Caenorhabditis elegans: one gene and its partner. The protein of the gene in region 1 interacts with the protein of each later gene in a pairwise test. Each region holds a gene or a part of one and is shown on either strand. Other genes may lie near its edges. The genes, in order: ndx-4 and rpsa-1.

Region 1 (4,332 bases):
CAAGTCTATGTGAAGGGAGAGTTCGTCGGCGGATGTGATATTCTCATTTCAATGCACAAAGATGGAGAGATTTCCGACGAATATGGGAAACAATAAATGCTTTTTCATGTTAAAAATAAAAATTTAGATTTTTTTACTCGAATAAATCATCCAGATTGTATTATTTATTCAGCAAAAAGTGCTCGGTAGGTTGGTCGAAGACGAGTGAAGGGAATTAAATTTCAATAAATAAATGGGGCTCATTTTTACAATAAAATCAGTGAAAAGGGGGTAATTGATAAAAAATCGAAATGTATCCTTATTTCCACAACTTCTTAATGGACATATTCTTCTTCTTAATGGACATATTCTTCATTCTTCTCCGAATCCTTCTGCATAACCTTTCCAACAGCCATCTCGAAATCCTCTCGTGTCACATGAATACGTCGCTAACGGAGCGCAAACATACCAGCCTCGAAACAGACTGACTTGACTTCGGCTCCCGATGCTCCAGGAATTTGCTCGGTGTCGAGGATGTCGATACGGTTGGTTGCCATGATAACCTGAACATATATATTTAGAAATTAGAAAGTTTTTGCATTTTCCCTACCTTAATACTCTTCTTCGTTGCCTCAAATCCATCGAGTTGATTGATCAGCTCGAGCATAGTTCTCTGAACTTCCGAATCTCCTCCACTAGATTCTTTAACTCTGCTTGGTCCGATTGGATCGATTTAATCCATGAAAATGATCGATGGAGCATGCTCACGAGCCATCACGAAGACTTCATGCACCTGAAAGCATTGTAAATGTAAAGATTATTATGTCGATCCACTTACCATTCGTGTTTATTCTCCAATAAACTTCTGCACCAACTCGGAGCCGGAAACTCGAATAAATGTGCACTCAGTGTGATGAGCAACTGCACGAGCTAACAATGCTTTTCCAGTTCGTGGTGGTCCATAGACCAGTTTTCAACAAAAAATTAACTTTAAAAATGACAAAAAGTTATATTTTAAAGGAATGAAAGAAAATAAAATAAAAATCACAATCTCTCGTAAATCCTGCCCGCTTGTCTGCATTTGCGCGTCAATTTATGCGCCGCGTGTTTGCGGCCAATACACCGAAAAACACCGATGAGACAGCTTGACTACACGTGAGCGCCGAGAAGCTTTTGCTCTGTGAGCTTCAAATAGGAAGCTATAAACTTTCGATTTGAAGCCCAACGAGCAGCTTTTCGGCTCTGCTGGGGCGCAGAGTTGCGTTCGGTGGCAGAAACTGGAAAATTCTGAAATTTTCTAAACTAATTTTCGAATTTCCTGCCATTTTTACCCCTAAAATCAACTTTTTTCGAAATTTGGTTCATTTTCTTGTAAGCTACAGTTTTGACGTACTTTTAGAGCTACAGTACTCCAAAATTTTTTTCTAATTTTTAAAATGTTTTTTAGTAATTCAGAAACGCGAAAATGTTTCCAAAAATCAATTTGTCTATAAAAATTGCAGAAATTGAAAAAAACTAGAAGTTTTCTCTATATTTTTTCTAGAAAACCAGAAAATTCTTTTTTTTTTAATTTTTGTAGCAAAATTTCTTAGGAAAATCCAATTATTCACCGAAAAAAAAATTTTTAGGCCGTCTAAACGTCCTTTTCGAATTTTTTTTTCAGTTTTTCTCAATTTTTGCCAAAAAAAATTGGATTTTTCAGTCAAAAATTCAAATTTTCACCTTAAAATTGCACAAAACCGCCCCAGCAGCGCCGAGAAGCTTTTGCTCTGTGAGCTCCAAATAGGAAGCTATAAACTTCCGATTTGAAGCCCAAAGAGCAGCTTTTCGGCTCTGCTGGGGCGCTGAGTTGCGTTCGGAGCACCAAACTCGAAAATTTGAAATTTTCAGCGTAAAGTTTACCGAAAATATGTTTTTGAAAAAAAATTCCGATTTTTCTGATCAAAATTTCGAGTTTCCCGCCATTTTACGCCTAAAATTAATTTTTTTCAAAATTTGGAGCTTTTTGTCGTGTGCTCCTATTTTTTTTAATCCAATTTTAACAAAAAATCGATATTTTCTAAAAAAAAAAATCCAGTTTTTTTCAGCGCCAACAAAAAATGGTCGTAAAAGCCGCGGGACTTGTGATCTACCGGAAGTTGGCGGGAAAAATCGAGTTTCTCCTGCTTCAAGCCTCCTATCCACCACATCACTGGACCCCACCAAAAGGTCACGTGGATCCAGGAGAAGATGAATGGCAGGCGGCAATTCGTGAGACTAAGGAAGAAGCTAATATTACAAAAGAGCAACTGACAATTCATGAAGATTGTCATGAAACACTCTTTTATGAGGTGTGTGTGTGTGTGTAAGAAAATCGATAATTTTTATCGATTTTTTGATGGAAAAATCGATAATTTCCGGCGAAGTATGATATATTCAAAATTTTCGAATTTTTTAATGAAAAAATCGATAATTTAATTTCGATAATCAATAAATTATCGTTTTTCCGATGGAAAAATCGAAAAAATTAAAAATTAAATAATATCCTGCGAAAATCGATAATTTCGAATTTTTCGAATTTTTAATAAAAAATCGATTTAAAAAATTTCGAAAAAAAATCGATATTTTCGAAATTTTCGATTAAAAACCCGAAAAATCGATAATTTTGTGCGAATTTTCGAAAAAAAAATAAATTATCGATTTTTTAAATAGAAAATCGAAAATTTTTTTTGAATTTTTTTTTTTTTTGAATTTTTTTGAATTTTTTAAATGGAAAAATCGATAATTTATTTTAGAAAATCAACAAATTATCGATTTTTCTAAAACTAAATTTTCATTGAAAAATTTTTTGAAAAAAATCTCCGATTTTTCACCAAAAATTCAATTTTTCTGCAATTTTGCGGAAAAAAACACGAAAATATCGATTTTTTCGGAAAACTTATCCATTTTAAGCTTTTTTTGGGAAAATTCGGGATTTTTCGATTTTCTGATAGAAAAATCGATATTTACCGGCGAAAACGAAAGAAATTTCCTTTTTTCGTAAATTTTGTAAAAAAAATTGATTTTTTTTTCACAAGACCCTGAAAATTCAATTTTTTCCAGGTTTTTACACTGAAAAAAATTTTTTTTTTGGTTTTGTGAAATGTATCGATTTTTAGGAAAAATGGCAAAATTTCCGGGAAAATTCTGGAAAAAAACGCAATTTTTCCGAATTTTGAAAGAAAAAATCGATAAAAAATTGGGTTTTCAGCGAATTTACATATTTTTTAAATCGATTTTTCATTTGAAAATTGAACTAAACACTAAAAAAAATCCCAAATTTCGCTAAATTTACAGGCAAAAGGGAAGCCAAAATCAGTGAAATATTGGCTCGCCAAGCTCAACAATCCAGACGACGTTCAACTATCTCATGAACATCAAAATTGGAAATGGTGTGAATTGGAAGATGCTATCAAAATTGCCGATTACGCTGAAATGGGCAGCCTTCTCCGCAAATTTTCCGCTTTTTTGGCCGGATTTTAACGATTTTTCACCGATAATTTCATATTTTTCGAAAAAAAATAATTTTCATTTATTTATTTAATGTAAACTTTTTATTTAATATAAATCTTTTCATACACAATTGTTCATGATGCTCTCTCTTTATCAAAAATATAATGCTCGTAATTATTAATGAATGCGTGTTGTCTCAGAGCCTGATAAAACAGATTTTTTTTCGAAAATTTCAAAAAGTTTTTTAGGGTTCAGAGATCAATTTTGAGTCCTCTAACTGTCCTTTTTTTTAATTTAGGCAAAAAAATAATTTTTCTGAAAACGTACAAAACCATCAATATTTGAAAAAGGGCAATTTTTTAAGGTTTAGAGATCAATTTTGAGTCCTCTAACTTAAAAAATAACCATTTTAGAGAAGTTTCAAAATTGTGATTTTTGCCGTTTTTTTTGCCATTTTTGCCACTTTTTTCTAAATTCAGCATATATAAATGTTACTCCTCTGAAAAAATTAAAAAGTCGTTAACTCTTCCGATAAACCAAATATTTATATTATATTCAAAAAAAAACACATTTAAAACATCGAATCAAGTAGAAAGAATCCATTTAATTATCTAAAATGAGCCATTTCTGGGCAATATGTTGAGCTTTTGCATCACCAATTGGTTGACGAATTCGAACTTTCGCCGACAAGAGACCACCAACTGCTTTACGGCCGTCCTGAAACGAGAAAAATTAGAAAATTTTACGAAAAATCTAATTTTTTATCGGAAATTCGAAATTTTCCGTTAAAATCAGTACGTTTTTGAAAAAAAAAAAAAAAATTTTGCCCAAAGAAAAAAAAAAGTACAGTCATTAGATGGCTGAAAAATGAAAATGGGCAAA
Region 2 (3,671 bases), on another chromosome or scaffold:
TGACAGATTTCAAAACTATGCGACCAAGGCTGAGAGAGCGACATTTTCGGAAGGCACGAGTGTAGAAAAGTCTTCCGCAGAGATTGAGCATTTGACTTTCTGAAATTATATTCATAATCCAGCTATTCACTTTTTGAACTTACGCGATGACCAATATCTTGTTCTGATCGTTATTGACGATTTTGTACATATTTTATGTGACGGAATTCATCGCGCTGACGACATCAACAAATCATTTCCAGACTGGAGCAATATCGAGCTCTGAAAAGGAAAATTTAAATTTTTTTTCTTTAAGCCACCGAAAATAGCTATAAAACTAAAAATGACGTTTGACTGCGCAGAGAATTGAAAAGTACGATATTGAATTCAATAAATATACATGAAAAAGAGTAAAAACTGCGAAAAGATCACGAAAATTGAACAAGAACGACAGAAAAACCAAGTTTATTGCGAAAAACTAACATTAGATATATCCTCGTAAATCGACACAGCGGGTCTCGCCGCGATTTGCCGCCAACAACGTCACCAACTACGGTATGTGTGGATGTCGAGAAATGCGGAGAAATTGCGAATTTCACGTCATTTCTCCGCACACTTGCATTGCAAAAAAATTGTCGAGAAATGACGAGAAATTCACTTGCATCATCCCATTACTGTAATTTTTGAAAGCTTACATAAGAGGAAAATGGGATTACGATTTTAATCTCGTCTATTGGCACAAGTAATATTCATTAAATTCTTTAAAACGTTCGCCGTCCCTGTACATGGTCTTAATAACTGTTGACTTTTCTTATATATAAATTTGTTCAATAACCTCATAACATAGTTAACAAGGTTTATTTCAAAGAACCAACATTGTAACAAATTGATTACCAGTTAGACTGGGTTGGAGCGTTGGCCCACTCTTCGGTGGTCTTGGTCTCGGCAGTCCAGGTAGCGGTCTCAGCGGCCCAATCGTCAACCTTTCCTCCTTGGGTGGTGAAGTCGATGTCAGTTGGTTGTTGGTATTCTTGAGCCTCAGCAACATCAGCGTGAGCTCCAGTCTCCTCCTTCTCGGTCTCAGTTGGGTCACGGTAGAAGTAAAGATCTGGCATGATTTCCTTTCCTTCGAGGACGAATCCGGTTTGACGGGAGATCTTTCCACGGAGAATGAGGATCTCGCGAGCGAGCATCCACCACATAAGTCCGATTGAGCGTTCTCCCTACAATTCAAATACATATTTACATTTTTTATAAATTAAATATATACCTTGTTGTTGCATGGAACTCCGATGTCGATCAACTTGAGTGGAGACTCGGTGTTGACGAAGGAGATGACTGGAACTCCGACGTAGGAAGCCTCAGTGACAGCCTAAATTTTAAATAATTAGAAAAAACAACTATTTAGAAAAGTCTTACCTGATGATCGATACGTGGGTCAGAGATGACGAGAAGTCTTGGCTCCTTGAAGGTCTTTTGGATCTGGTTGGTAAGACATCCTGGAGAGAAACGTCCGAAGATGGCGGTAGCTCCGGTATGAGCAGCGAACTTGAGAAGAGCACGCTGGGCGTATGGTCTAGCCGAAACAACGACGACATCAGCTGGGTTCTCAACAGCGGCGATAGCGCGGGCAGCGAGAAGAAGCTTCTCCCAGGTCTTCTTGACGTTGATGATATTTGGTCCTGTAATGATAATTGTTATAATTTTATTAAATAATTCACAAGAAAAATGAATTGAATTTTTTTTAAACTAACCGTCAAAACGTCTCTTGTAGACGTATTGCTGCATTTGGAAGTTAAGATTGGTGGATCCCAAATGGGCCTGGGTAGCAAGAAGCTTCATAACATCCTCCTCAGTGAGGGCGGAATGAGCGGCACCGCCTGACATATTACCTTAAAATTCAAAAATTAATTTCAGATCAGTCATAACCAAGAAAACAAAATAAACGTTAGGACAGAAAATTCAAATTAATTAAAAATTATGCTGAATAAGAAAATTACATGCAAAGCCTTATTTTCCTCATAGAAACAGTTGAATAACATATTTTTTAATTGAAAACATAGCAAAATTCGTGGTAAAATTTGTCAAAACCTTGGAAAAAATCGAAAAAAGAACATTTCCCGATGCATTTTCCTATTTCTCGTTGCCGACAACGTATAAACGTTGAATACTCAGTCAACGAATTTGGCTGCTGGCTTGGACTCTCGCACGGAAGAGACGCGTGTGTAGATTTACGACGAAAGCAAAAATTAATTAAAATATTGAATTTGTCATTTTTGATGTTTTTTTCTTAAATATGACAATTTTGAATTGAATTACGGAAAAATTTATTAATAAATTCAGAAGCGAACATCGTTCCTTAAGGGTAAATTGATTCTCAATTTATTAGTTGTTGCCTTATCAGAAAACTGACTTCGAAATTTTTCAGATATTACCACAATGCGCACAACCATCAAGACATGAATTCACCGGGAGTATCAGCAAATTTCTTCATTCCTCTCAGGTGCATAATATGGGGATATAAAATATTAAAGAATTTATGTGTTCAGCTTTGATGCGACGTCACTAATCAAATATAAGCTTTCTGATGATCTCCTAGCAAGAGTCGCTGCATCAGGCTCCTTGCGTTCATCTTCATGTAGATCAGCTGTTTGGAGGGTATTAGTTTCGGCATTTCTAAATTAGTCTTCAAAAGTCAATTGATTACAGCTTGTTCTTCGATGTTTGCCGTATGAAACAAGTGATTGGGAAATAAGCTTATCACGTAGTCGGAATCTTTACCGAGCTCACAAGGAAAATCATTTAATTGACCCACACGATACAAAGTTTTCTCAAGATCCTGAATTCAACAATCCACTTGCCTCTATTGAGCAAAATCCATGGAATACATTTTTCGAGGACAATGATCTTCGTGACATTATCGGCAAAGATGTTTCACGAACTTTTCCGGAAATTGAGTTCTTTCAAAACACAAGTATTCGGCAAATGATGTCAGATATTCTTTTGGTTTATGCAAAGGAGCATCCTTTTGTAAATTATCGTCAAGGAATGCACGAAATTCTGGCACCGCTAATTTTCGTGATATATTCGGACAATGAAGCATTTCAACATGCAAAAGAGAATGATGAGTTGAAAATGCTAACGGTGGAAGAAGAAGATATTTTGAATTGCTTATTTTGTAAAGAATACCTCGAACAGGATAGCTAGTGAGTGAATAAATTTCAATCATTATTGATAATATATTTTTAGTAATCTGTTTTGTTCGGTGATGTTAGAAGTATCAAGATGGTATGAAGAACCAACAGTCACTGAGAGTCCAAAGCGTCCAATTCCAAAGGAACCGTACATGAGGGTGCAAGATTCCGCTCCTGCATCTCGTTTGATGGAAGATCTAATTGATATTGGAAATCTTCTACACGAAATCGATCCCACCCTTGCCAAACATCTTAGTACTCTTGATATACCACCACAACTTTATGGAATGTGAGTTATTTTATTTTTGAAAATATTTAATTAAAATATTTACAGTCGTTGGCTTCGCTTATTATTTGGCCGAGAACTTCCTCTACACGATTTGCTTTTTCTATGGGATGTACTTCTGATTGATCGGCCAATTGCCCCATTAGCCAAATGCATGTTTGTTTCGTTGTTAGTTCAGATCAGACATCTTTGTAAGTTGTTAAATCGATAAA

Evidence for each region.
Region 2: the proteins of ndx-4 (region 1) and rpsa-1 interact in a two-hybrid assay, tested with the Caenorhabditis elegans proteins (one large-scale study listed by BioGRID).

Annotation. Positions count from the first base shown.
Region 1 is NC_003279.8:13,791,887-13,796,218, reverse strand, and holds ndx-4 (Bis(5'-nucleosyl)-tetraphosphatase [asymmetrical]), read left to right. Parts: upstream 1-2,066; 5' UTR 2,067-2,078; coding exon 2,079-2,309; intron 2,310-3,294; coding exon 3,295-3,480; 3' UTR 3,481-3,580; downstream 3,581-4,332. Other genes in the region: ccct-1 (Coiled-coil and C2 domain-containing protein 1-like), read right to left, coding at 4,054-4,167. UniProt on the Caenorhabditis elegans protein: Asymmetrically hydrolyzes Ap4A to yield AMP and ATP.
Region 2 is NC_003281.10:4,752,181-4,755,851, forward strand, and holds rpsa-1 (Small ribosomal subunit protein uS2), read right to left. Parts: upstream 1,872-3,671; 5' UTR 1,867-1,871; coding exon 1,734-1,866; intron 1,662-1,733; coding exon 1,399-1,661; intron 1,352-1,398; coding exon 1,250-1,351; intron 1,203-1,249; coding exon 870-1,202; 3' UTR 827-869; downstream 1-826. Other genes in the region: B0393.8 (uncharacterized protein), read right to left, coding at 1-99, 144-190; rbg-3 (Rab-GAP TBC domain-containing protein), read left to right, coding at 2,439-2,482, 2,529-2,637, 2,689-3,185, 3,229-3,462, 3,508-3,650.